Linked DNA regions of Astyanax mexicanus. Each later gene encodes a partner of the first gene's protein in a complex. Links are inferred from orthologs where the notes say so. Each region holds a gene or a part of one and is shown in the gene's direction. Other genes may lie near its edges.

Region 1 (7,862 bases):
TTAGAGCATTTATTTACAGAAAATGAGAAATGGCTGAAATAACAATAAAAGATGCAGAGCTTTCAGACCTCAAATAATGCAAAGAAAACAAGTTCATATTCATAAAGTTTTAAGAGTTCAGAAATCAATATTTGGTGGAATAACCCTGATTTTTAATCACAGTTTTCATGCATCTTGGCATCATGCTCTCCTCCAACAGTCTTACACACTGCTTTTGGATAACTTTATGCCACTCCAGGTGCAAAAAATCAAGCAGTTCAGTTTGGTTTGATGGCTTGTGATCATCCATCTTCTTTTGATTATATTTCAGAGGTTTTCAATTTGGTAAAATCAAAGAAACTCATACTGTTTAAATGTTCTCTTATTTTTATCTAGAGCTTTATATGACAGCTCTGGAATGCATCTGTTTTGTAAATTTAATGAGAAAATATTACTTTGAGCTTTCAGTTGTTTATTTGTTAGCATGCTTTATCCATTTATCCATTCTACAACCACCTTTGATTATGTGTTTGAATTAGTTTGATTAATCTAACTGAAATATAAGAATAATTCAATTCATAATCAATTTGGATTGCATTCAGACAAACCCAAGAAACTCACTGAAATCCCAGCAGTGCAGTGATACTGATATCCAGGATGAGGAACTCTACACCTCCTGCTGTCACTGTATATATTACTTTATTGATCCCTGAGGGGAAGCTTTCCTGGCTGCTGCTTGGTGAACTCACACCTGTGTACAGGTAGACAGGTATGGTCAAGTGTGTGATAAAGTGTGTAGAAAGAGATCTCATACAGTTTAAAATCCAGTGTGAATTCAGCTGAGCTCATTCTGGATATTCATTCATAACCTTATTAGAACTTAATTCTGAATATGAATGTAATTAGAAAAGTAATACACACTCATACTGGACATCAGTGTTTTTACAACTTCATACTTGATGTTAATGTTATTAAAGTTTTGGATAAGAATGCCATTAGCATGCTATCATTCTGGTTATTAATGTAATAACTACTTAATACTGGGTATTAATATTATAACTTAATTTTGAATATTAATGCTATTAGAACTTCATTCTGAATATAAACATAATTAGAACTTCATACTGGATATTAATATTATTATAACTTAATTCTGGATATTAATGCTATTACAACTTAATTCTGGATATTAATGCTATTACAACTTCATTCTGGATATTAATGCTAATAGAACTTCATTCTGGATATTAACATAATTAGAACTTCATACTGGATATTAATATTACTATAACTTCATTCTGGATATAAATGCTATTAGAACTTCATTCTGGATATTAATATTACTATAACTTCATTCTGGATATAAATGCTATTAGAACTTCATTCTGGATATTAACATAATTAGAACTTCATACTGGATATTAATATTACTATAACTTCATTCTGGATATAAATGCTATTAGAACTTCATTCTGGATATTAACATAATTAGAACTTCATACTGGATATTAATATTACTATAACTTCATTCTGGATATAAATGCTATTAGAACTTCATTCTGGATATTAACATAATTAGAACTTCATACTGGATATTAATATTACTATAACTTCATTCTGGATATAAATGCTATTAGAACTTCATTCTGGATGTTAACATAATTATAATTTTATACTGCATAGTTATGCTATTAGACTGGATTTACTAGATATCATTTTATTATTATAGCATTATTCTGAATATTATTGTTATTAGAACTTAATGCCAGATACTATGTCATTACAATTACAATGTGTCATTGCAAACATATTATGAATATTAAGGTTAGATGGATTGTATATTAAATATTGGTATTAAAGGACCATTAAGGATTAAATTTTTGAAGTAACTCATAACATGATTAGGATGTATCATCAGATATTAAGGAACCATGCTGAGTTAAAGTACCGACAGCTCTTATCAGCAGAGCTTTAGTCAGTATTTTCTTATTTGAACTGTGTGGTATGTAACGGTAATACATTTCCACATCTCGGATTGCCAGGTACAGAACACAACCGCACAAAAACAGCCATTTCACACACTTGCTTTCATTTACTACAGATTGTTCCTTTAAGGTTATTATAACTTCTTACTGGATATCGCTGTTATAAACATGTCAATCAAACAAAGTGTGTTCCACCTGTCTATGTTCAGGGCTCCTGAAAGAGGCAGGGCCTGCCCAAAGGAATCCTTAATGACAGATGGAATGGAGTGCCCCCTGCTGGAGAAGCCTCCATTCAGCTACAGCGCCCTGATCGTGATGGCGCTCGCCCACAGCCCCCGCCGCCAGCTTACACTCAGCGGCATCTACGACTTCATTGTGTCGCGGTTTCCGTACTACAGCAGGAAGGGGCGGGGCTGGCAGAACTCCATCCGCCACAACCTGAGCCTCAACAAGTGCTTCGTCCGGGTGCCACGCCCACAAGACGACCCGGGCAAGGGAAGCTACTGGATGATCGACCCGTGCAGTGAGGTGTACATTGGTGGAAGTCCGGGCAAGCTAACACAGTGCCAGCCGGCTAATCGGGCGGATAAGTCTGCAAAGATAGTGAAGTGGAAGGCGGGGCTTGGACTGCCCAGCTCCTTTTATTGGCCCATGGCATCATTCCTGGCACTGCAGCAGCCAGTGTCTGCCCACCAGCAGGGTCACAGATGGGCAGGAACCAGATCCGAGGTTGCCGGACTGGGCACTGCATCGTTTGTGCCAACCTCGGTTCCTGCTATGGGTGCTAATGGGGTAATGCCCGGCCAACCTGCCCTGGTGGCAGATTGCTCCAGTGCCAGGAAAGATGCCATACCCTCTGAGGGAACAGCGCACCCTATGGGAATCCTGCAGCAATTCCACACTGACCCCGCCCTTATTCACCCTGCATACACGTATCATCCCAGCATGACCAGCTCGTATTGGCACATTTGTATTTAAATTAAATTTGTATGTAAATAAATCTTGTTCATTATTTCATATTATTACTATATTGTGTTCTGATTTACATTCTTCTTCTTAATATTATTATCATAACTGTTCTGCTGGATTTTTAATTGCGTAGCATTTTCAAGGTCCAAGGTTTGATCAACATCATGGCAACTATCTTAAATACAATAGCAACCACCTTGCCACAATGTAGTAGTTATCTAGACTCCACCTTGTAATACTGTAGCAACCACCTGGGATATCAAAGCAACCAGCTAGCAACCACATAGGAATACCAATGCAACAGCCTGGGATATAATACCAACCACTAAGCAATAACTTAAAACAATCTTGAAAAAAATCTTCAAAACCTGAGCAACCACCTTGCTACAAGGTAGCCCCCATGTAGAGCCCATTTATCCAAATCCTAGCAACCACCTGGGATACAATTGCAACCACTAAGCAACATCACGACAACTGACTAACATACCATGCCAACCACCTTGTCACAATGTAGCACCCATCTTATCAACACCATATCAACCACCTGGTCTACTATAGCAAACAGCTATAGTATGCAGTATAGTAGCTTTGCATGCCAAAGCAACCATTTGGGATAACATAGCAACTGCCTAGCAACCACCATGCAACATTATGGCAAATGACTTGAATACCATACCAACCACTTTGTCACAATGTGGCATCTAGAGCCCACTATAACATCAATACTATAACACATTTTGGAACTGCTAAACAAACATCTAGCAACCACATTGCAATATGGTATTGTCTAAAATACCATAGCAACCCCCTTGCCACATTAGAACACCAATAGAACACACTGTGATACTATAGCATCAATTAACAACCACTTATGAAGAACACAGTACACTTTGAAAGTTATTGTTGTTAGCCTGAATATTACAAAATGCTATCTCGTTTGGTCTAAACGGTTTATGTAATGCATGCCTGAAATATTGTGAGTAAATGCTTATCATTCTTAAAAGTTATATTTTGACTAATTGCATGGATTTTCCAATATATAACTATACACACATACTATAACTTCAAATCTAATGGTAATGTATTTTTGTTGTGTTTATATATTTGTTGGTGTATAATATATTTATAAACAAACTAAAAAAACCTGGACTAAAACATATTTTTAGTTTTGCTTTTATTTGTTTTTTTTTGTTGTTTTTTTTACAAAAACAAAATAATGTACTGTAAAACTATTTTGCATTTGTTTGATGGTCATGTATGTGAAATAAATGTCTTTGTGCATTTGTCTGATTAAATTCCTGTTTTTTCTAAACTGCAGATGTGTGCAGATTTTCACTCTATAAAATGTGTGGAATAAGAGGTAGGATTAACAAGTGATTAACTCTTCTACCGAGCAGCTCCATCCAAGCAGCTTGCGTTCATTGTGGCATTGTTTCAACAAGCTTCTGCAATGTCACAATTTATTTCAGTCCAGTGTTGCATTATTTTTTCACCAAGATCTTACATTGATGATGGGAGCGTCTGACCACTTCACAAAGCCTTCTCCAGCACATCCCAAAGATTCTCAATGAGGTTAAGGACTGAACTATCCAAATGTGCAAATTATGATCTCATTCTCCCTAATTTATTCATTCATTCAATCTGGTCTATATTCAGTATATTCAGGTAGTCAGCTGACCTCATTCTTTCAGCACATACTGTTACTAAACACACAAACACACACACACACATATATATATATATAATATATTATAATACATCTCACATATATAATACAACTAAACATGTAAAATAATAACACAAAAAATGTAAAAAGTAAAAATTAATTCCTGACTTTTAAACGTTTATTCGACGACAAACTAAAACATGTTCCGGACTTTTTTTATATTATTTTATTAAATATAATAAAAGTCCCCGGAAGGAAGCGGCGCCATAACGCTGCGTTTTGTGAGCGTGACCCGCGCGCTGAAGCTGAATTACCCACAGAGAGAGAAAGATCCGTTTATACCAGAGTAAATTAGAGTTTACTACCCTAAACATGTGAGTATTTACATTATTAAACGATTTTACTGTTATTTTGGGTGTTTTAGGGAAAGCCTGGCTGGTTACAGGAGTTAAACGTCTGCCGTAGAAACACAAAAGCAGCAGCATGAGATTTAGCAGTTGTAAGTTAGGTGTTAGCTTAGCTACTTAAATATAATAAATTTAATGCCCATAGAGGACCTGAATATTGTGTTATTGCTTTAAAACTACTTTTAAATTAGACTAAAATGTCGATAAGCGTATTTAATAATGTTAAATAATTCTCTAATAATTCTCTTCTGCTGTTTAGTTGTTGTAAATCTTGGCTGGATAGTTATCTTACGTTAGTTATCCAATTTAACTCCTGTATTGTGCTTTTTCGTTCTGAGTTAAATTAAGAATAGTGAGCTGCTTATTAGAATTGTCTGTTCCACCTTAAATGGGGCAGAAGTATCTGTACATTCAGGCTCCTCAGCAATTCTTCTGCACCATTAATGTAGCTAAAATAGACAATTCTTACAAAAAGCCAACTTCAGTTTAAGGGCTGCACCGAAGTATTACTTTTATTTTTATATATATATATATATATATATATATATATATATATATATATATATATATATAACAATAAAAAAAACAATAAACCAAAAAATTATATATATATATATATATATATATATATATATATATATATATATATATATTTTTTTTTTTTTTTTTTTTGATTGATCTGAATATTTTTTGTTGCTTAATCTAAAGTTTTTTTCTGATAATCTAACAATTATTTATTTTGATTAATCTACCATTTAGCCTACGATTGAGTAATCTACTGTTTTTTTTTTTACAGATTAAACTAATGCAATTGTATAGACTGATCTACTATATATACATTTACTTTTAATCTAATACTTGGTTTTATCAGTTAAGCAAACAATTATTTTCTTATTGCTTAATTAACCTTTTTACCTTTATTATTATATAGTTTTTGATTAATTGAAAGATTATTTTTCCCGATTAGTCAATAGTCTAGTGACTAAATTAATGCTTGGTTTTCATAGTTTTGTATTTTGGTTTCAAACATTAAAAAGAAATCCTTCCTATTTGATGTTTAGTTAACTGGTTTAAAGAGCCAATCCGAACCTAGTTTAACTTATTTTAATATTAAACATTAATTTATAGTAATATGTGAGGGGAAAATGAAACTATAATTAAAACTATTTAATTAAACACTGTTTTTTAAGATTAATATACTGTGCTCAAACCAATCAGTGTCCAATTTCCTCCACAAATGCTAATAACATGTTGTGTCTCAGGAGTCTCCTAAACAAACCGAAGTCTGAGATGACTCCTGAGGAGCTTCAGAAGCGAGAGGAGGAAGAGTTCAACACGGGGCCGCTGTCCGTCCTCACACAGTCCGTCAAAAACAACACACAGGTCCTTATTAACTGCCGCAACAACAAGAAACTGCTGGGCAGAGTGAAGGCGTTTGACAGGTACGATACTCTGAACTGTGTGCAGAGGAGAATTTGCTCTTCTATTATATTAATCTCATTCTTGGTGTGAAGCAGGTGCTAGCCAGGCTAAGGTATTTTCTAACACTTTTACAGTGTGTAAGTAATGGTTTGTATGTTTGCATTGTTTGACTGATGGTTTGTACACAGGTGGCTTAATGTATTTTAAACAGGTTTGCAATTAAGTCTGAGTGAGTTTGTTGGAGCTGTGATTTGCTTTTCTATGTTGTCGTGTAAATTAAATGCACAGTATTTGAAACAGGAGCCTTTTTTCACTTTTCTGCTGCACTTAGTATACAACTGAACTGACTGTTTAGTGCAGTAATTGTTACAGCCAACCATTACACTTAACCCTGCCTATAAATGGGGATGTTGTAGCATTTGCACTCACTTTGCTGTCATTTGAGTTGTCCTTCTGAGCTGCAAACCAGATTATATAGATTTACTGTGTACAAATATTTAGCAATAAAAATATTCGAAACAGTACTACCTATCTCTATTAAACTGCTTTTGTGTTCATCATGTGGAATATGTAATTCGAGTACCATTTTGGAGGCCATTTGACCTTTGGTAAGTGTTCTTGAGGGGCTTTAAGGCCATGATGAAGATGATGATGATGATGATGAGTGAACACAAAAACTTGTGGTGGATATGAGATTAAATTAGAGGCTGGCAAAAACTAATCTGATCCAATATTGACATAGATAATTTCTGAGTGTTATTGTTTGCTTCTTCCTGTGGGATAAAATAGATAATTTAATATGTGAAAACTGTATTAAATTTATAAAATTCCATTTAACATTTTGCAGAGTGAGGTTGGTGTGAAATTGTGATTAATTGAGAAGAAACTTAAGGGCTATTAGTTCTTTGCAGTTGCAATAAAGTGATCCAGTTGTTGCCATGACCTAAATGCAAATGGAGTACTAGTGAACTTGCACGTGTCTGAGTTTTATATGGAACATTCATGATGGTAAAATAATAGAAAGTCTAAACATATATCATCTTTATATGGATTCCTCACTCATGTTAATTATTTTTTTTTATTTATAAAAAAACTTGACAGTTTTCGTGTCTGGTTCATTTTACCACCTTTTACCATATTTTTGTGAAACCAATTAATTTTGCACAGAATTTACCAAAAACTGTTTAATTTTCCCTAATATATACACCAACCCAGGCAGATAGACTGGTGTTTGTGATTGTTAGTGGATTACAGTCTCTCTGTGTTTTATTTGCTTTCAGGCATTGTAACATGGTTCTGGAGAATGTGAAGGAGATGTGGACAGAGGTGCCCAAAAGTGGAAAGGGCAAGAAGAAGTCCAAACCAGTCAATAAGGATCGCTACATCTCCAAGATGTTCCTGAGAGGAGACTCGGTCATCGTCGTTCTGAGGAAC
Region 2 (6,986 bases), on another chromosome or scaffold:
CTACCACGAGTGTGAAAGCACCACCAACATTCAAAACTGACCAAAACATCAGCCAGACAGCATAGGTTCTGAGAAGTGGTCTGTGGTCCCCACCTGCAGAACCACTCCTTTATTGAGTATGTCTTGCTAATTGCCAATAATTTCCACCTGTTGTCTATTCCATTTGCACAACAGCAGGTGAAATTGATTGTCAATCAGTGTTGCTTCCTAAGTGGACAGTTTAATTTCACAGAAGTTTGATTTACTTGGAGTTATATTGTGTTTGAGTGTTCCCTTTATTTTTTTGAGCAGTGTATAACAAAAATAAAAATCTGCAGCAAAATGAACGTGCAGAATATTAAGTGCATACTATTATATATCAATATTATATATATTTTTAATATATGCAAACATAAACAAATAAAACAAATAAAAGTAAATACTCTAATTAAGAAGCAGTGTTCACAGTTCTGTTTAATAACCTCTTTTTCTGTTTCAGATAAATCCAGTTTCCAGTTTTATAAGACACACTTAATAATAAATCTGATAATAAATAATTATCAGATACCGGAATTTTCATGACAAACCGCACACGCTCCTAACAATGTATCTGAACCAAAATAAAAAGAGAGAAATGATGCATCAGTAAACGCTTAGGGGTTGAGCTCTTACTCCGGAGGCGGGGGTGGTAGACCTCTCGGTCGGGTCTCCGGGGGCGACGCGGGGCGGTGGTGTGTCTGCGCTTCTGTTGCTCTTTAGCCTGTTTCACCTCCTTATCATAATCATCCCTTTAAAAACACACAAACATTACAACCTGTAAGTGAGGCAGTGTTGAGGTGAGGCAGTGTTAGTGAGTCAGTGTTAGTGAGTCAGTGTTAGTGAGTCAGTGTTACAGTGAGGCAGTCTTAGGGTGAGGCAGTCTTAGGGTGAGGCAGTGTTAGGGTGAGGCAGTGTTAGGGTGAGGCAGTGTTAGGGTGAGGCAGTGTAGGGTGAGGCAGTGTAGGGTGAGGCAGTGTAGGGTGAGGCAGTGTAGGGTGAGGCAATTGTTGGGGTGAGGCAATTGTTGGGGTGAGGCAATTGTTGGGGTGAGGCAATTGTTGGGGTGAGGCAATTGTTGGGGTGAGGCAATTGTTGGGTGAGTCATTGTTAGGGTGAGGCAGTGTTAGTGAGTCATTGTTAGTGTGAGGCAGTGTTGGGGTGAGGCAGTGAAGGGTGAAGCAGTGAAGGGTGAAGCAGTGTTGGGTGAAGCAGTGTTGGGTGAAGCAGTGTTGGGTGAGGCAGTGTTGGGTGAGGCAGTGTTGGGTGAGGCAGTGTAGGGTGAGGCAGTGTAGGGTGAGGCAGTGTAGGGTGAGTCATTGTTAGGGTGAGGCAGTGTTAGGGTGAGGCAGTGTTAGGGTGAGGCAGTGTTAGGGTGAGGCAGTGTTAGGGTGAGGCAGTGTTAGGGTGAGGCATTGTTAGGGTGAGGCATTGTTAGGGTGAGGCAGCGTTGGGTGAGGCAGCGTTGGGTGAGGCAGCGTTGGGTGAGTCATTGTTAGGGTGAGGCAGTGTTGGGTGAGGCAGTGTAGGGTGAGGCAGCGTTGGGTGAGGCAGCGTTGGGTGAGGCAGCGTTGGGTGAGTCATTGTTAGGGTGAGGCAGTGTTGGGGTGAGGCAGTGTAGGGTGAGGCAGTGTAGGGTGAGGCAGTGTAGGGTGAGGCAGTGTTGGGGTGAGGCAGTGTAGGGTGAGGCAGTGTTGGGGTGAGGCAGTGTTTGGGTGAGGCAGTGTAGGGTGAGGCAGTGTAGGGTGAGGCAGTGTTGGGTGAGGCAGTGTTGGGTGAGGCAGTGTTGGGGTGAGGCAGTGTTGGGGTGAGGCAGTGTTGGGGTGAGGCAGTGTTGGGGTGAGGCAGTGTAGGGTGAGGCAGTGTAGGGTGAGGCAGTGTAGGGTGAGGCAGTGTAGGGTGAGTCATTGTTAGGGTGAGGCAGTGTAGGGTGAGGCAGTGTAGGGTGAGGCAGTGTTGGGTGAGGCAGTGTAGGGTGAGGCAGTGTAGGGTGAGGCAGTGTTGGGGTGAGGCAGTGTTGGGGTGAGGCAGTGTTAGTATCAGCAGCTGTTTAAAGCTCTCAGTACAGGATCCTACGGTGGCCGAGAAAGCCCAGCGCAGTGCAAATTGAAAAGCGCTGCAAAAGCACAAAACACATCAATCAAAATTACAACACAGGCGCAGCAAATAGAAAAACGCGCTGCAAATAGAACCACAACACAACGGAAGTGAGTCACAACACAACGGAATTTTCCCGGGAGACCTTAAAAGATGCTGTACCAGCTGTATACAAAGGACAGTAAGTGGCAAACAAGCTTCTGAAAAGTAAGTTATGTTTATTACCTGTGATTACCACGGTTGTGTGCATATTATTAAAAGTTCTGCTTCACAAAACGCCTTGTTTGCCACTTATTGTCCTTTGTACACATAGTGAAGTCCGAGACGTTACTGAAGACGCAGCTTAGCTGGTACAGTATCTTTTAAGGTCCCCCGGGAAAATTCCGTTGTGTTGTGACTCACTTCCGTTGTGTTGTGGTTCTATTTGCAGCGCGTTTTTCTAGTTGCAGCGCGTGTTTCTAGTTGCTGCGCCTGTGTTGTAATTTTGATGGATGTGTTTTGTGCTTTTGCAGCGCTTTTCAAGTTGCACTGCGTTGGGCTTTCTCGGCCACCGTAAGGATCAGTAGCGGCGGCTCGCTGCGCTGCGCTAGCGGACTGTTAGCCTGGCAGCTCCGACTCTTACCTCGCGATCTGATTCCTCCGGATGTGATGCAGGAACCCGTGGCTCATGTCTAAGCGGCCCCCGGGTTTATATTTGAGAGCTTCCCCCTCAGCATCCTGCAGAACCTCCATAATTTAAAGATTAAGCGGAGAACACGCGCGCATTCCCCCCACACACAGACCTCTCACTGCCTGCATCCTCTTCTTCCTGTAGCGCTGAGGCGGACTGAGCTCTGTTCAGCGCTGCTGCCGCCTACTGTTCAACAGCCCCCCCCCCCCCCCCCGCATACTCAGCGCCCTCTAACTATATCTATATATATATATCTATATATATATATATATATATATATATATATATATATATATATATATATATATATATATATATATATATATATGAATTATTCATTATATATAAATTATTAAAACAATGTTATATTAAACAAACACTATAGTATAGTAACCTGAGGGCTAGATTGCGCAGGTGGTGCGCATTAGTCTTAGTCTTTTTCTGCTATAAGGCTGATAACAAAACTCATTTACTAAATAATAACAGTGAAGGAGGCGTCTTACCCTCTGCGTTCATTTTTTATCTCGCCTAATCTGAAAACAATGTGAATGAACCTTCCAGATCTCGAATCATATAAATAGACACTTTAGGACTTGTGGAAAGAATTACCTCAAAAGACTAATTTATCATTTTTAGAACAGTAGAACAGCAACAACATAACAGCAGCACAGTGTGAGCAACAGGTCAAGAGAAACACAAGCGTTTGAACATTACAAAGAATAAGTTAAGGGGTGCATAAAGGATGCAAAAAAGTATGTGGGTGATGGTTTTAACATTTAAAATGAACATTGGAATGCAATCCAATGGTTCAGTTTAAAATGTGAAACTCATATATTATATAGATGTATTACACATCCATAAGTGTTTATTATTATTTTTTTTATTGTTGATGATTATGGCTTACTGCCAATGAAACACCCAAAATCAGTGTTTCATAAAATTTAATATTACATAAAACCAATTGGTACTATATGACAATATTGCTTTTAAGAAAATATTTATAGTATTCACATGGGAGAAAAGTTATGTTATTTTTGAATAAAAGGCTGTGCGGTAAAAGATACGTATTTGTATATATTGGATTTTGCTGCCCACTTTTTAAATAAATCAGTTTTAACTGTATCAGAATCAGGATTATTTTTACAGTGCTGATCGGTGGGTTGTTTCCGGTGGGGTGTGAGAGTAGTTCCGGCGGGGCGCGCGGGGGCTGCTGGGAGTTTGTGTTTAGTTTGAGCAGTCCGTGCTCTGACCCCTCATAGGATTTAAACTCCGCGGGCTTAATTAAACAGCGCTATGGCTGGAGTGAAGCGGGAGCGGGATGCTGAGGATGAGGAGGAGGAAGGTAAAGTAGAGGAACCTCTAAAGGCAGAACCGCTTTACTTTACAAACAGTAGCAGCAGAACACACCGCCTAGCTGAGCTAACCGCTAACCGGCAGGCTAACCAGCAGTGCACGCGCCTCCTGCACACCTTCTGAGCGGCTTTAATCTAATTCAGTTTTTTTATTAAAACCAACATCAGTGAGACTGATATTACAGGATTTTCCTTTTACTGTTAAATCCAGAATTACAGATAATCCACCAACATCTTCATTTAGCTATAAAGCTAGTTCTCTAGCTAACATAGCTAATTAGCTAGCTAACTAGTTGGTCACCAAAGCATGTAAACAAGTGGCTGTTACTTTTCTACTGATCCTAAACTAAAGCATGTAACCTAGGTTAGCTAGCGTTAGTCAACTAACTAACTAGCCTTTCACCAGCATATGTGTGTAAAACATCTGAATATCTGAAGCTTTGCTGGGGACATGGTGGGGGTGGTGGTGGACATTGTGGTGGGGTGGTGGTGTTTGTGGGAGTAATTTTTTTTCATAAGAATTTTATCAATGCCTGATTTTCAGAGGTCCGGGGGAAAGTTCCAGACAGAAGGAGCCGCCACTGTCCATACCTTGACACAATCAACAGGTTGGGATAGAGGATGTATTAATTGGCATAAATTGTGTTAATTTCTATATGAAGTAAAAGGAGGGTACGGTTCTAAGCAATTTCGTTTTTCTTTATTATTTAGGAGCGTTTTGGATTTTGACTTCGAAAAGCTGTGCTCAATCTCTCTCTCTCACATAAATGTTTATGCCTGTCTGATCTGTGGAAAGTATTTCCAAGGTAAGTCATTTTTTTTTTGAGACAATGAAGTTTTTGTTATGGAGCGTAAAATACAGAACGTTTTGTTGTTAATCTTTGTAAATTTAGTGTGAAATGAGTGTTTGGCCCATTTCAGTTTTAATTCTTCATCTTGCCATGTCTGAGGTGGATGGTTTGGCTGCTGGTTTATAGAAAAGCCTACAAGGCACAGTGGTCAAAACAGCAGCATCTAACTCTTTAACGCAAGTGTCAATTAAAGCCACTTGCAGTGGTCCAAAACTCGGATCATTAGATGTAAAATAGTGTGTGTGTGTGTGTGTGTGTGTGTGTGTGTGTGTTATAGGGAGGGGCCTGAAGTCCCATGCATACACCCACAGTGTTCAGTTCACACATCATGTCTTTCTAAATCTGCATACACTGAAGTTCTACTGTCTACCAGACAATTACGAGATCATTGATTCATCGCTGGAGGACATCACAGTGAGTTGAGATTAAGGGTGCTTTCACATCTACCTTGTTTGGTTCTGAACATTGGACTATTCAGTTTGGACAGAAGCAAAATAGCAGATGCTTCAAAGCCTACTCCAACAGACCAGTATTTGCTTTGACAAAAAGAGGTTTGGATCAACTAAACATAAACCTGAATCTGGTTCAGGCAGCAACAGAAGAAGGAAAAAAACACCTGAAATCTGACTCCCCTTCACGTGTGGGTGCGTCATACAGCAGTATGGGCACAAGAGTTTATGCTGGTGATTCCTGTATCTGTAGACTAACCTTTATTTATAGACAGAAATAAAAGGAAGCTGAAGGAAATCTGTGATAATTTTGCTGTGTGACACACCTTCATGTGAAAGAGTCAAATTGATTATTTCTCTTTTTGATATCACACTGACACACTCTAGCAAGCCTTACCACCTAATTACTTCTTTAAAAAAAAAAACCTACATATATTAACCATTAACAATCTGGAAATCCGAGATATACATATATAGTTCGATACATTAATCTGTTGCAAGGTTGCAAAAAAGTAGTAAATTATTTTTCTTTATTTAATTTTTTAAAGCTGTCTTCAAAAGAGGAGTCCCATTAACTAAAATTCTAGTTCATGTGACTCCTCTTTTGAAGACAGCTTTAAAATATTAAATAAAGAAAAATAATTACTGATTTTGTCAATTGTAAGAAATGTAAGCTTAAAGATGGAATTATGCTTAATGACCATGTTAGCGTAGAGGGCGTGTATCGCATACCTGTACTGTGGCTTTTTTGGCATAATTTTCTCAGTAATTGTTATTTTTGTTTAGTTTATTTCTGTATATTTCTATCAGAATATTAATGAAGTGTTTCTGTCTTCAGTATGTTCTGAAGCCAACGTTTACCAAACAGCACATCTCCAGTTTGGACAAGCAGGGCAAACTGTACAGGGCTTACGATGGCACAACTTACCTGCCTGGCATTGTGGGACTCAACAACATCAAGGCTAATGACTACGCCAACGTAGTTCTACAGGTATTACCTTCCAATATTCAGTCTTGTTAGCACATCTGAGATGAAGGGTGCCGATCGTTCATTAACATAAATGTTTATTTATTATAATGAAGGTCAAATGTTCAGGTAGTTTTTACTATCAAACACTACTGTAATGTACTGTAGAAGATACCACATGTCTTGGCCCAGTAATGATCAGTTACTTTGCTAGATGTGATTTGAGTACAGTGTCCTCTGGAAGCATTGACAAATGAAGGACAGGAAGGACTTGTTTGTTTACACTGAAAACATTTAGATTTGAGCCTTTTTTGCTTGCATTGCAGTATATTGATTGTCTGAAATATCTATTGCAATGTTACGAAATACATAAATACATTCTATTTCATCAGAAGAAAATTCATTCAACTTTTGTCATATTACTATTGCACATAGATATGTTTATGCAATAAGTTATGTTTTGCACATAAAATCTGCCTCTGGTAGGCACGCCATGGAACGTTAGGTCAGTGCACATTTTCCTTTGTATCAAACTGACAGACACTCACAGTTTCAGACAGTTTCACTAGACTCCTAAAATCATTC
Region 3 (7,028 bases), on another chromosome or scaffold:
GGCAATCTCAACACTTGAACATCCGGTCAACTTAAAAAAAAAAAAAAAAAAATTGTATTTTATTTTAAAACATACTTTTTTTTCCCCCATTTTCTCCCCAGGAGGGTGAAGATTAACACATGCTTCCTCCGATACATGTGAAGTCAGCCACCGCTTCTCTTCGAGCTGCTGCTGATGCAGCATTGCCAAGCAGCCAGCGCGATTGGAGGAAAGCGCAGTGACTCGGTTCTGATACATCAGCTCACAGACGCCCTGTGCTGTGGAGATCACCGTAGGAGTGATGTGGGGAGAGAGCGCCATCTACCCAGCCGGAGGGAGCAGGGCCAATTGTGCTCCCTCTGAGCGCCGGCAGCTTGATGGTAAAGCTGCATGAGCTGGGGTTCGAACCTGCGACCTACCGCTCATAGTGGCAGCGCTTTAGACCACTGGACCACTCGGCGCTTAAACATAATTTTAAAATGTCACATGAGTTTGAAACCATCTTCACCTCAGAAACCTTGTAAACAATTAAGTAAAGCTGTCTGAGATTGACCAGCACATGTTTTGAATAGTTAAATATGTGCTATTAGATTCAGAGTTGAAAAAAAGATAAAAAAAAATAAGTTTCATTTGGAAGAGCAAGAGTTACAACAACAAATGGCCCATTAATGAATTCCCTAGTTTTAAGCTGTGGAGCAGTGTTTGAAATGTGTTATCTGGAATGATGGTGCTCCACTCATTACTTTTGGGAAAAAGCTTGGGAGTTGGGTGTGAATGAGATGTGGTGGTGATCATTCATCCAACATCCTGCTTTCGAAACTGAATGCAATAAAATCCTCATAGCAATGTTAGCTAGTTACTTCAACAGAAGCAGAATTCATGATGAACAAGCAGGTGTCCCAACACTTTTGCCAACATAGTATTTCAACATGCATGTCACATATAAACTGATACTGATTCTCAGTGCCACCTCTAAATATAATATCTCTAAATATAAACAAGCATGCAGAAGGTCACCATTAGTGTGTGGGGCTCTAGCCTTATATTTTCAGTTGAGAAAGTCCCCTGCTTCTGGAGAATCAAAACTGAAAGCAAGTTTATCCCAAGTAGTAATTCTAACACTAGATTATATTAAAACATAGACACATACATTAGACATGAAAACAATGTCCTAAAACACATCACACCTACAGTACAGTATATATTTACATGTATATCAAAACGGATAATATTGTTATACACCTTACACTGGAGTCTACTGGAAAAACATGCCTTCAATATGCACCTGTGTGTCTTTATGAGACACGTCATACATTAACCAGACCTCGAGCCATCTTCAGCTTACCTGAAGCTAACACTGCGAGGAAAAGACCACCAAACACAACACTCATGATAAACACGACCACCTGGACACCTCCAGCGCGAACAAACCGCCATGCAAATTAACAAAGTAACTACTGCACTGATCTGCTTTCACTTTCAATTCAGCGCTGCTCCCAGTCCCTCCCACACCTACACCCACCCCTCTGATCTACAGGGGCTTCAGGAAGATCTGACCAACAGACAGACTCACTTATTCACTCAATCATTTATTCATTAATTCATACTAATCTATCATATCAAACTGACAGAGGAATATACATGTGTATGAAATTAATGTGGACAAATGACACACGTACATGTACAGTAGTCTGGCCACGTGAGGGCGCCAGTTATAAACTTCCGACAGATTTCTCTATCATCTCTGCTCTCATTGGTCTGGGAAGCTTATGCTTACCTACCAGAGACAGGGTTGCCAGGTCCAATAAAAATATCCATCCCAAAGTCAGTCTAAAACCCGCCCTTCAGAATCTTAAACTAGCTTTGTCACACGTTTGAAGCAAATGACAAAACAACTATGAGTGCACGACTTAGTATTTTGTTTATACGGGATTTATTATCAGTAGTGCTATTTATCTTGAAGTCATTAACAATATTGTAACATCATTGATGTTTTATCAGTTATTTTATAACAGTTTTATATCCCAGTCAAGAACATTTAATAGTAACATAATTAGCTAAAAAAAAGAAAGAACTGACTTTTCCTTTTTTCTGTTTTTGCCCTTCCTGAAAACTCTTTTTTCCTCTTTAACATTTTTTTAAATCGCCTTGTAATTTCTGGTTACATGGAGATTTTTTTGTTTGTTTTTTGGCGGCCGCGGTAATTTTTAAAAGTAGCCCGAAAAATGTTTTACCCGCGACTGGATTTATAAACAAGCCCAATTTGTCGGGAAAACCACGAACCTGGCAACTCTAACCAGAGAATCTTTAGTAGAGAGGAGAGATTACGCACTTCTGAATGTTGTCTGGGTTTGTTGAACCACCAGGGGGCGTTCCAAAGTAAGTCCAAAATGAATGGGTTCCTATGGAGCCACTTCATAAATACACTCCAAATCCACTCCAGTTTTATTAAACAATCATGGAACCACTTTACACAGGGAACCACCGTGTTCTCAGTGTAAAGATGGTGCAGACAGTGTTAGAGTTACTGGGTGAAATGGTATTGTAAATTGTTTATAAGCATAATTACTGTAAATTAAATCCACTCCAGTTTAACTCTGTATTCTGCTGTAAACAACTGTATGAATAAAATTAAAAAACATATATATATATATATATATATATATATATATATATATATATATATATATAATATAAGGCACACTAGTACTGTACGTGTAAGAAGTAAATGCACTTCAACCTGCATAAAGGGGGAAACATTTTCTGAGGTAAAGTTATAGTAGCAAAGTTTATGTAAAATAATACCGCAGACTAACTGCTGTGCCAGGTAATATAGTTTATTTATATTAGCAATAAATCTTTCAAATATTACACATGCATTTACCCAATTTAACAAGGGTAGGGAGACCAGACAATCCCAATACTTTAAATAGCTTTAAATAAACTGTATGGCAAAATTAACTACAACAGCCGAACTTTTGTAATTACAATTTAGGAGAGAAATACAGTAACTGATACAGTAATTGTATTCTTTTAATTAGCATATATATAATTACACAACAACAAGAGTGTGTCTAACAAACTGACATAAGGAAACATTACCTTATAGGATGCCCAACCTTCATATGTTTTTCTCTTAGGTTTAAATCGCTATTTATAAATCTTTTTGACTCAGTGCTCTGACGGTAATTCAGCATCAGCTCTCTAACCAACCAGTCAGTTCACAGTAATGCTAGAGTGTTAACTGCCTAAACCTGTTTACTGAAGAAAAACTGAACAATATAGATAAGTTTTCTTTACTTTTTTTTAATAATGCATCTTTCTACTTTCTACAATTAAATAAATATCTTGAGCAAGTTCTTAATTTCTATTTTTTACTGTATTTTTTTAGCATTTTAGCTTTATTCACCCCCATTAATTTTTGACTCGCTCGCGGGCTGACTCCAGATTTAACAGTCATTTTTTTAAAGTGTGCATGCTCTCTACACAAACCAGCTTCTGCTCCTGCAAGAGCCGGTTTATGGCGAGCATGCCCACTTCCTTTGTAGAAAATGAATGTGAATCGCTAGAGGGAGCCAGTGAGCGAGTCCAAAATGAATAGGGGTGAATGGAGCTAAATGGTTAAAACTTTAGTAAAAAATAGTAATTAGCTATTTTTAACTAACTAGGATATTCATATAATTTAGGTACAACAAAATATGTTGCTAAAAGGGCAAACTAAAATTATCTATATATGTCTGTTGTTCTACACTAAACAGGTTTTGGGGAGTAAACACGCTAGCGTTGATGCTACACTGTGAGCTGACCGGTTGGTTAGAGAGCTGATGCTGGAGATACAGCCAGAACAATGAGTTTAAAGTGTTATAACTAGAGTTTATAAGCTTGAAAATCATGTCTGCACTGCAGAAACATTTAGTATTGTTCTGTTTTAGGGAAAATTAGTACATTTCACAGAAAAAAAATATTAAACATTAATAAACTCTGATTTTGCTCGAACCGGAAGAGATTCTGTAGTGTGTATTCTCGTTTCTAAAGGTTCTCTGCTCCTACGAACAGCTCTCGGTGGGAAACTTCAGTTCTGTCCTCGTGCTGATAAAATAAAACACTCGCTGTAAATAACCGGTTTAATCCTGTTAAACTGTAGGTTAAAATAACCGATATTATCTTCACGAAAACCACGTGACCAAACGGACTAAAGAATAAACACATGGTTCTGTTCGGCTGAATAACAAAATGGACCAAGGTAAATACACCACTGTTTCTGAATGAGTTTCCCTGATTTTGCTATTTATAGGTATATATTTAAGTAAAATGAACATTGTTGTTTTATTATATAAACTACGGACATTTCTCCCAAATTCCAAACATGAATACTGTCACTTAGAGCAATGGTTTGCAGAAAATAAGAAATGGCTGAAATAACAAAAAAGATGCAGAGCTTTCAGATCTCAAATAATGCAAAGAAAACAAGTTCATAATCATACTTGGTGGAATAACCCTGGTTTTTCGGCATGTTCTCCTCCACTAGTCTTACACACTGCTTTTCGATAATTTTATGCCATTCCTGGTGCAAAAATTCACGCAGTTCAGCTTGGTTTGATGGCTTGTGATCATCCATCTTCCTGTTGATTATATTCCAGAGGTTTTTAATTTGGTAAAATCAAAGAAACGCCTCATATGTTGTTCGTGTGAAATCATTACTATATAATAAGCAATAATTGTCAATGTGAAACATGAATCTCAGAAACAGCAGCTGTACAGGAGAGAGACAAAACCTTTTTGACTTTCAAAGGAAGTAAATTGGATAATTTCTGGTGGTACATTCATCAAGAAATGTTGACACATTTAAGACTAAAATATATTTATGTTTGCAGCATTGAAACTGTATTTACATTTTTTACATTTACATTTACTGTGGGTGAGATTGGCACCATTAGAACCAGCCTGTTATTTTGTGTAATCAATACTTTATTTGTTCTAATTGTAGAAGAATTGGCAGCAACTGGTTGTATTATAGATTTAAAAAACAAATGTTGCCTCTTTGTAAATCTGTAAGTTTTAGTGCACTGAATCATTCATGCTTTAAACCAATAAAACTGATGACTGAAAACATAGAATGTACCTAGGTAATCACATAACGTCCTGTTAGATATTGTAAAAATTGCAAATCTGCTGCCTATTTTGGATTGTGAGATGTGCAGTCATGAATGTATCAGAGTACAATATAGAACAGATTCTAATCTACATTAAATTAAATTGAATTTGTTTTGTGTCTTCTTCCTACAGAATCCTGGCTGAGCTGTGAGAAGACTGCTGTCCTGCAGGGTGGGTTTCTGCTGGCTAATCAGTTGTGCCAGCCAGCACCTCTCTCTGCTTTGAGAAAAGAGGACTGGGAGCGAGTTGGGCGGCCAGTAGTTCAAGCAGTCACCGAGATATGTGGACAGCGGTGTGGAGGCAACCAGGACCAGCTTAACTGGAGAAAAAGGATTCTCTGTATAGTATGGAGCAAGATCTTGGAGATGGAGACAGGAGAGGATATTGATGTCCAGTGGAAGGAAAATCCACTGTTTTCTGTTCAAAGCAGCCTACCTGATATAAACCATGTGGTTATGTTTGAGTTGGTGAAATCAGTGGGTTTCTACAGCATTTATGTTGAATTGCTCCAGTGCTTTCAAGAAGCTGAGCAGTGGAGAGAGCTGGAGAGGTTAGCGAAACATGTCTCAAGTGATTGCAAAGAGGAGGATGTGAAGTTCTTGCTGGAGGTGTGGTGGGAGATGATGAAGGGACGGAGGGAATCGCTGGATAATCTGGACCAAATCTTTAGTGCCCAGTGCATACGATTTGGACAGATCACCTCAGACTGCTCATCTCAGGCTTCAAAGCGATTTAAACCAGACCCAGAAGCTGCTGTACCCAACATGTGCATATTTTCTCTTTTGTTTGAGACACTGAACAGCATAAAAGAGTGTATAACCTCTCCTGGACTGTGTTATTTTGGTCTCTCCAACTGCCTAGACATGCTGTATACTTCCTTCATGTTAGATCATGCAGTGGAACTCCCAGTTGAAGTTAAACTGCAAAACATTGCTCGCCCAGTAAGCCAGCGAAGGAAGAATTCTGTCTTGGAGGGAGCTGAACTTGCTCAGGCCATATTTGAAGCCCAGAGAGATCTTGCGGCCACACTAACTCCAGCTCAGAGCAAGCCGTGCGGAATGACCTTTGCACAAGCCATGGAGACGCTACTTGGAATAATATGCTCATGGGAAGCAAAGGCATTGCTGACAATGTCCAACCAACCAAGTGAACCAAGTGTCCTCGCATTCCGTCTCAAAGACAGTCTGCAAAGAGTCCTGGAGGCTTTAGAGCGGATGAAATCTGAAAATCTAGATGAAAATGGACAGGCCTTGATTAATTTGAAAAAGGCTTTGACTGATTTGCTAGCTTCCTCATCTTTTAGCATGTCTGAAAGCCCCTCAACTGAAATAGCAAGTGTTGCTACAGCCATTCTTGACTGTAATCTGCAGGGTTTCCAGGACCTTCCTAAACTCTATGCCTCCAAACTAAGCCAAGCCATCAGTGAGACAGAGTGGTTGAACTGTCTCGAACGAAACAAAAGTGCATTCCAGCAAAAAGACCTGGTTATGACCCTGGTTTCTACTCTTATAGCCAAAAGCCAGGGTGATACTGACGTAAATCAGTCTAAAAAACTGAAAAACATTATTATGGACATTTTCTCCCAGCTTCTGTTGCCTGACAAGAATGCAGCACTTTCTGAAATCCTTAAATTGTCCAAGAAAGGCTTACATGGATTTCTTCCGAGCTCTGTTACAGCAGGCTACGATGGGGAACTCAACCTAGCCTTCAACAGCATCATTCAGGGTGGAGCTCAGGCGAAAAGCAGCCTGAGCTCGGCAGTCTCAGCCGTAGCTCGTGTTGCCTTCCAGAACCCTGAGGCTGCTTTGGGCCGATGTTGCCACATGGCTGTGGTGAACCTTGGGGCTCATACTTTTCTTGCACAGATTCTCCAACAGCTGCCAGGCCTCAGGAGC
Region 4 (7,802 bases), on another chromosome or scaffold:
ATACATCTTCTGTAACAGTTACAGTAAATCTGTTCAAATGGAATATACTGAATGTATGTATTAATATATTTTTATAATATATTATAATACATTTCTTCTTAATAATAAGTCAGGCATCAGGAAGAGTCTTAACTTGAATGGAAACTGAATGTATTTTTTATGACACAGAGCTTCTGGAATGTATGTCATCACTGAATGAATAATTAGACACTTCTAGAAGGAACTTGTACTCAACTGTATATACTTTTAATAGCTCCTCTGTGTGATTTATATGACAAAATCTGAAGCAAATATGATTAAAAGTTAAAGATACTGAAAGCAGATTATAACATGTAAAATCCCCAGTGTTACACTGTTTATTACATGTTTAAAAGCGGGTGTAAAACTGCAGGATGACCTGTAGGCCATAACATTTATCAAGTGGAGACACTAAAAAGTTACGTCCTGTCTTTGACCCACTGGTGACAATTGTGATAGTGATTTTTTTGGGGGGAAAATAATATATTTTTGCATCATAAAACCCTGCATGTATTACAGACGTAGCTAATAATGTCTCTTATGTGTAAAACATTTGTGTGGTATCCTTTAGAGGCTTGTTAAATGCTTTATTCTATAATAAAGTAGCTCTTTCACCTAAACAGAACCTGAATAAAACCTAAATGACTTTCTTTATGTTCTAATTTATTTATTTTATAGGGAACAGAGCTTCTGGAATGAATGTAATCATTGAATGAATAAGAAGAAACTTCTAGAAGGAACTCGTACTCAACTGTATATACGTTTAATAGCTACTCTGTGTGGTTTATCTGACAAAATCTGAAGCAAATATGATGGAAATCTAAAGATACGTTGAAGGAAGGTTATAGCATGTTTATTTTAGAATCTATGTGTCTGCAGATAAAATCTCCAGTGTTACACTGTTGTTACACATTTAAAAAGGGGGGTTGAAACTGCAGCATGACCTGTATACAGGTCAAAAACCTGATATCATGACAGGGCATAACATTTATTCAGTGCTGCCCCGTTTTTGACCCAGTGTTGCTGATAGTGATAGTGATATTTTGGGGGTAAAACTCTTTACAATGAATGCAGTTTCTGAGTGTATGTACTACAAGTCTAGCTAATAATGTCTCTTATGTGTAAAACATTTGTGTGGTATCTTTTAGAGGCTTCTTAAACTGGTTTATTCCTTAATAATGACGCACTTTTACCTGAACAGAACCTAAATTCCTTTTTTATGACACAGAGCTTCTGGAGTGTGTGTTATCATTGAATGAATAATAATATATACATGACTGTATATACTTTTAATAGCTACTTTGTGTGATTTATCTGACAGAATCTGAAGAAAATATGATTAAAAGTTAAAGATACCTTGAAGGCTGGTTATTAACATTTTTTTTAGGATCTACGCATCTGCAGGTAGATAAAATCCCCAGTGCTACACTGTTGTTACACGTTTAAAAAAGGGGGTGTGAAACTGCAACTTGAACTGTAGGTCAAAAACCTGTTATTATGACAGGGCATAACATCTATCAAGTGGGGACACTAAAATGTTATGTCCCGTTTTTGACCCAGTGGTGCTGATAGTGGTTTATTCCTTAATAATGACGCACTTTTACCTGAACAGAACCTAAATTATTTTTTATGACACAGAGCTTCTGGAGTGTATGTTATCATTGAATGAATAATAAGACACGACTGTATATACTTTTAATAGCTACTCTGTGTGGTCTATCTGTCAAATTCTGAAGAAAATATGATTAAAATCTAAAGATAGAGTGAAGGCGGGTTATAGCATGTTTATTTTAGAATCTACCGGTTTATAGGAAGCTAAAATTCTCAGTATTACACCGTTTGTTACACGTTTAAAAAGGGGTTCGAAACTGCAGAATGACCTGAAGGGTGTGTAGCTATATGTATCTATAGGCAGATGGGTTGTTACATTGTTACTTAGTTTGTTACTTTGTATCGTGCACGGCCCGGGGTTTGTTACTTTGTATCGGGTACGGGATTTACTAGTCGGTGACGCAGCTACAATCGCAGACTTGTAAGGCGATGCACGACCGGCCGCACGCGCCCCCTGCTTTATATAACCTGCCTATATTCCGTACAGCCCCCGCGAGCGGCTCCAGAAGAACGGGAGGCGCGCGCAGAACAGATCTAAACCCGTAAACTCCGCTCGGTTACCTTCATTTTGACCTCCGCTGGTTTCCAGTGGGGTCGGAGCTCCTCGATCAGCCGCAGCGCTCCCGGTCTGTAGTCGTGATCGTCTACGCTCACGTTGAGTTTGGGCACGGCGGGAGCGCCCTCCGGTACGTGGATGTAGTTGGTCTCCATGGCGGGGGGTCGCTGGCGGACAGGCGGCGGAGCTGCGGAGGTGAGCGCGCGGGTGTGGAGCTGAAGGGTGTGCGGGTTTGAAAGCGGGTCAGTTTTTAATGCGCCGCGGATCCGCCTCTACTGCTCCCTCCCCGCAGTTACTCAGCGCGCGGTGCATGCCGGATCTGACGAGTCACTGAACTGCGTCAGAGTTCTGGGATTAGGAGCTCATTCAGATTATAAATATAGTTTTTATTCAGTTAGAGAGTGAAGAAGACCCCAGATCTCTCAGCTCTCATCAACTGAATATGTGTCAAGAACTTAATGATCCAAAAAATGTCTGGCTTTCAAATGAAAAATGTATAATTTAAATATACAGCTCTGGAAAAATTTTACCAAATTGAAAACCTCTGGAATATAATCAGGAAAATGGATGATCACAAGCCATCAAACCAAACGGAACTGCTTGAAGCAGTGTGTAAGACTGGTGGAGGAAAACATGCCAAGATTCATGAAAACTTTAATTAAAAACCGGAGTTATTCCACCAAATATTGACTCTTAAAACTTTATGAATATGAACTTGTTTTCTTTGCATTATTTGAGGTCTGCATCTTTTTTGTTATTTCAGCCATTTCTCATTTTCTGCGAATGCTCTACAAGACAATATTTTTATTTGGAATTTGGGAGAAATTAACACTGAAAGCCACTGCTGTAAAAAAAGTAAGAATGGAAGAATGTTTTGTAAGTGGTTGAGACCAAAATAAAAGCATGATGTTTGGAGAAAGGAAAACGCTGTCCAGCGTAAAAAAAACTTATCTTATCTGTGAAACATGGTGTTGGTAGTTTTATGGTTTGGCCCTGCTTTGCTGCATCGTGTCCAGAACAGCTCTCCTTTATTGATGGAACAATAAAGTCTAAATGATATCAAAGAATTCTAAAGGAAACTGTCAGGACATCTGACTATGAACTGAAACTCAAGAGACGATGGGTTATGCTGCGAAACTTTTTTTTCAGTTTGGTTACCAGTAAAGGAAGGACTAAAATAGATTAAAATAGCTGCTGAAATTAGCATTGAGTCGTATGGAAGCCCATTTCCAAAACCTGAAGAAAAAAAAACGTCCTCAACTAAGTCATAATTATGAGTTAGAAAAGTCATAATTATGGGATAGTAAGTCATAATTATGAGATAGTAAGTCATAATTATGAGATAGTAAGTCATAATTATGAGATACTAAGTCATAATTATGAGATAGAAAGTCATAATTATGAGATAAAAAAGTCATAATTATGAGATAGTAAGTCATATTTATGAGATAAAAAGTCATCTCATAATTATGACTTTCTATCTCATAATTATGACTTAGTATCTCATAATTATTATTTTCTATCTCATAATTATGACTTACTATCCCATAATTATGACTTTTCTAACTCATAATTATGACTTAGTTGAGGACGTTTTTTTTTCTTCAGGTGGCGGAAATGGGCTTCCATAGAGTCGAGATTAAAGAAGTGGAAAGACACGCTCACAGACTCAAACTGTCAAACTGATAGTTAACAGGGTTAGCTGGAAGCAATATTCACCAACATCAGCTCTATCATACTAAGTTCAGTCAGAAAAAAGTAAAGGATAAAAACTAATTCTAATCTATATAATATAAGATTGATATTAGCCTGTAGAAAAAATATATATTTACACTGGTTACTTTAATAATTATTTTTTTAAAACTTAAATTTATAAATTGTGTACTTTTATACTTAAAGTAATTTTGAAACCAGTATTTTTACTTGAGTCAAAAGCTTGAGTTATTTTCGATTACGATTTACATTAATTTTATTATTATTTATTTATAATATATGGAAGCCTATTCCCAACACCTAAAAAAACAAAACTTTTTTCTTATTATTGAGATAGTAAGACACTATTTTGAGACACTATCGATAGTAAGTCATTATTTTGAGATACTATCTCATTATTTTGAGATCTCATAATTTTCCAAAAGCAAACACTATCACAGAATAATGACTTGTGTCTCAAAATAATCACTTGCTATTTTAAAATAATGACTTAGTATCTCCAAATAATGAGATAGCAGTTTACTTAATATAAAAGTGAATTTTAGGTGGCGGGAATGAGCTTTCATAATAATTTTATGTTCCAAAATAGGAGCAAACACCAAAATAATCGTGGATAGGAACTGTTGAGGAGGACAGTACTGAAGGAGCACCAAAAGGCAGCACTAATCGCTGCCTGAGTAACATATTCACACTGTTCAATAAGCAAATATTATGTTTTACATGCAATTAAATTAGTATACGATGTGTTGAGTGAATTTATTGATTAATTATCAGTGGGTCTGTGTGCTGAGTGTGTTGTTTCAGCTCGGTTGTGTGTGTGGGTGTGTGTGAGAGTGTGTGTGGAGCGCGGTTTCCTGTCGGTGCCGTTATGTGTGTGAGAGCTCTGCGGCCTCCGGCGCTTTGGGCTCTGGCTGTAGCTGTAGCTGCTGCTGGTGGCACAGCACTTTCAGTGGGTGCGCACCTTCTCGCTGTCGCTCTTTAAAGAGTTAAAGTTCCATCCACAGCGCTGTTCTCCTCGAAACAAACCCTCTATATTTATATATTTACCGGGCTAGAGGTCTTGTGTGTGTGTGTGTGTGTGTGTGCGTGTCCGTTCATTTGCTGTGCCTGTACGAGGTAGGTTCATACACTACACCGGTAAGCAGAGCTAGCTGAACTGCGCTAAGCTAGCTTAGCTAATGGTAGCTAACTACTGTGGCTACTGTATACTGCGTGGGTAAGCTAGGTTAACTAGCTAGCTTATCTACGTTATTCTGTGTAACGTTACTGTACATTAGCGTTATATGTGTTAGCTAGCTAGCTTAGCGAATGTGACTACTGTATACTGCGTGGGTTAACTAGGCTAACTAGCTAGCTTATCTACGTTACTGTGTCTACTATATACTTAATATAATGTGTTAGCTTAGCTTACCTACAGTCTTTGCTGTGTGCTGAGGGTGTTCGCTATAGCTAGCTAACTGTATATTAACGCTATAATTGTCAACTAGCTACATAGCTTAGTTACTGTTGCTTTAGGAGTTGTACTGAGTGTGTTAGCTACCTAACTATCTAGCTTAAGCATGTTAGTGTGGGTTAACTAGGCTAGCTAATTAGCTTAGCTAATGAGTCAACTGTATATTTCGTGGGTTAGCTAGGGTAACAAAGTTAGCTAGTTAACTAGCTTAGCTACGTTAGTGTGTCTAATGTATATTAACGCTATATTTGTTAGCTAGCTAACTAGCTTAGCTAAAGAGTCTACTGTATATTACGTGGGTTTTCTAGGCTAGCTAATTAGCTTAGCTAATCAGTCAACTGTATATTACGTTGGTTAGATATCTAGCTAGTTAACTAGCTTAGCTTCTGTGGCTAATGAAGTTATACTGAGTGTGTGTTAACTAGCAAACCTAACAAGCTTAGCTACGTTACTTTGTCTCTTGTTTATTAACGCTATATGAGTTAGCTAGCTAAGTAGCTTAGCTAATGAGTCTACTGTATATTACGTGAGTTACCTAGCTAGTTAACTAGCTCCGCTACTGTGGCTACAGTAGTTACACTGTGTGTGTTAGGTTAGTTAGTTAGCTAGCTAGCTAAGTAAATTAACCTAGCTTAGCTGCTGTGGCAACTGTATACTGCAGGTGTTACCTAGATAGTTAGCTAGCTAGTTTAGCCAGCCCACTGTTTAGATCTATCTAAATTACGTTTGTTTTTGGCACTGTTTTTCAATAAATATGTATGATATTGTTTTTAGCGTTTTAACTAAGTTTTTGGTAAGTCTTTGGTAATGTTTTCTCTTATCCAGCTCAGTCCAGAATCAGGCAACATTAGCTGTTTGTTAGTTAGTATTTTAGTGACTAACCAGTTCTACTCTTTAATTTCTCCAGGTTTATCTGTGTTAAAGAATGGCTATGAGGCAGACTCCGCTCACCTGCTCAGGCCACACCAGACCTGTTGTGGATCTGGCCTTCAGTGGAATCACTCCTTATGGTTATTTCCTAATAAGTGCTTGTAAAGGTAGGTTTGGATTGTTCAAGTGAACAATTTTAATTCAAAAGAAGTGAAAAGAATAGTGGTGTATGTGTGTCACAGACCCTTTAACCCATAAGTACCAAAATAAAAATTGAATCAGATAATTCAGTGAGCAGCTCATTAATGTTTGTTTCTGACTGTGGGAATATGACTGTCGAACAACCATTAAGGATTAGATTTTCTGTAGAAACTTGCGTCATCATCAGATGTTAAAGAAACATGCTTTAAGAAAACACATTAACACACTGTCCTGTAAAGTATGTAAAGGACAGATTGCTGTAAGGAACATTACACATCTTTTAACCCCAAAAAGCCAATGGTGATGTATATATGTCACATACCCTTTAAAAGTTGTGTAAAGATCTTTACAGCACTACAACACTGTCCTTCACTTTCTGCACAGGGCAGCCAGAGTGTGAATCTGTATTCGTTCATCTCATCACCATTTTCCTATTTACAGGATGTATGTGTACTAAGTTTAGAGATAAGTTCTGGAGATAAAATAGCTCCTTCTTTTAAAATGTAGTATTGGGTTCTAATGGTCTGTTCCAACCATTTAACCATTTAAAATTCGTCTTAATGATAGTTAGTAATTTGTTGTCATTTATGTTTCATCATGAGTTTAACCTTAAAATATTTACAGTCATGATCCCACTAGTCTGGGCTCTTATGGGTTAACTTGTAATGATAAGAGAATTCTGTAATCTCTGTGTCTGTTTACCTTGTGCCTTTTCCCAGTATTCGTTATTTGTTTGGTCTTTGCAGATGGCAAACCGATGTTGCGCCAGGGGGACACAGGGGACTGGATTGGGACGTTCTTGGGTCACAAAGGTGCTGTTTGGGGGGCCACCTTAAATAAAGAAGCCACTAAGGCGGCTACTGCTGCTGCCGATTTCTCAGCGTAAGTGAATTGTGGCGTATTTATGCTTTTTTCTAAATTGACCACGAAGGGACTGGAAGATATTTATATTATTATAGTGGGTTATGCCCTTGCAAGTGCCATTGCATGAGCGGCATCTGTGTCTGGTAACTAAGTTGTGTATTTTGTCATCTTGTCTTACAGAAAGGTGTGGGATGCAGTCACTGGAGACGAGGTCCTCACCCTGGCACACAAGCACATTGTTAAATCTGTTAACTTCACGCAGGTAACGCCCAAATTGAGATAAAGAAATACAATAGGAATTGGAACATTATTTTGCTACTTCTAGGAAACACATACACAGTACACCTATACACAGGTACTTAGCACAGCATTGTGTACATGGTCAATTGTTTGGAAGCTTATTTTACATTTTAAGTTTAAGTTTTTACATTTAGTTTGGATTTTATATATATAGTTACATATCACTGTGTATAGCTCTGGATGTAAAATAAGAGACCACTTAAAAATGATACATTT

Evidence for each region. The genes of interacting proteins can lie anywhere in the genome.
Region 2: snrpd2 (region 1) and usp39 share a complex: the UniProt entries of both Homo sapiens proteins name them as parts of the U4/U6-U5 tri-snRNP complex. The link is inferred for Astyanax mexicanus from reciprocal best matches to the Homo sapiens genes SNRPD2 and USP39.
Region 3: snrpd2 (region 1) and gemin4 share a complex: the UniProt entries of both Homo sapiens proteins name them as parts of the SMN-Sm complex. The link is inferred for Astyanax mexicanus from reciprocal best matches to the Homo sapiens genes SNRPD2 and GEMIN4.
Region 4: snrpd2 (region 1) and serine-threonine kinase receptor-associated protein share a complex: the UniProt entries of both Homo sapiens proteins name them as parts of the SMN-Sm complex. The link is inferred for Astyanax mexicanus from reciprocal best matches to the Homo sapiens genes SNRPD2 and STRAP.

Annotation. Positions count from the first base shown.
Region 1 is NC_064416.1:9,430,595-9,438,456, reverse strand, and holds the start of snrpd2 (small nuclear ribonucleoprotein Sm D2), read left to right. Parts: upstream 1-4,843; 5' UTR 4,844-4,971; coding exon 4,972-4,973; intron 4,974-6,268; coding exon 6,269-6,448; intron 6,449-7,708; coding exon 7,709-7,862. Other genes in the region: foxg1c (forkhead box protein G1c), read left to right, coding at 2,214-2,942. UniProt on the Homo sapiens protein: Plays a role in pre-mRNA splicing as a core component of the spliceosomal U1, U2, U4 and U5 small nuclear ribonucleoproteins (snRNPs), the building blocks of the spliceosome.
Region 2 is NC_064429.1:1,325,735-1,332,720, forward strand, and holds the start of usp39 (U4/U6.U5 tri-snRNP-associated protein 2), read left to right. Parts: upstream 1-3,965; 5' UTR 3,966-4,075; coding exon 4,076-4,124; intron 4,125-4,678; coding exon 4,679-4,742; intron 4,743-4,845; coding exon 4,846-4,940; intron 4,941-5,262; coding exon 5,263-5,399; intron 5,400-6,272; coding exon 6,273-6,425; intron 6,426-6,986. Other genes in the region: c22h2orf68 (UPF0561 protein C2orf68 homolog), read right to left, coding at 652-767, 2,735-2,844.
Region 3 is NC_064425.1:16,115,373-16,122,400, forward strand, and holds the start of gemin4 (gem-associated protein 4), read left to right. Parts: upstream 1-4,007; 5' UTR 4,008-4,212; coding exon 4,213-4,222; intron 4,223-5,265; coding exon 5,266-7,028. Other genes in the region: dhrs13b.2 (tapasin-related protein), read right to left, coding at 1,325-1,370. UniProt on the Homo sapiens protein: The SMN complex catalyzes the assembly of small nuclear ribonucleoproteins (snRNPs), the building blocks of the spliceosome, and thereby plays an important role in the splicing of cellular pre-mRNAs.
Region 4 is NC_064409.1:2,001,705-2,009,506, reverse strand, and holds the start of serine-threonine kinase receptor-associated protein, read left to right. Parts: upstream 1-4,781; 5' UTR 4,782-5,014; intron 5,015-6,258; 5' UTR 6,259-6,276; coding exon 6,277-6,388; intron 6,389-7,168; coding exon 7,169-7,304; intron 7,305-7,466; coding exon 7,467-7,548; intron 7,549-7,802. Other genes in the region: etnk1 (ethanolamine kinase 1), read right to left, coding at 2,191-2,340. UniProt on the Homo sapiens protein: The SMN complex catalyzes the assembly of small nuclear ribonucleoproteins (snRNPs), the building blocks of the spliceosome, and thereby plays an important role in the splicing of cellular pre-mRNAs.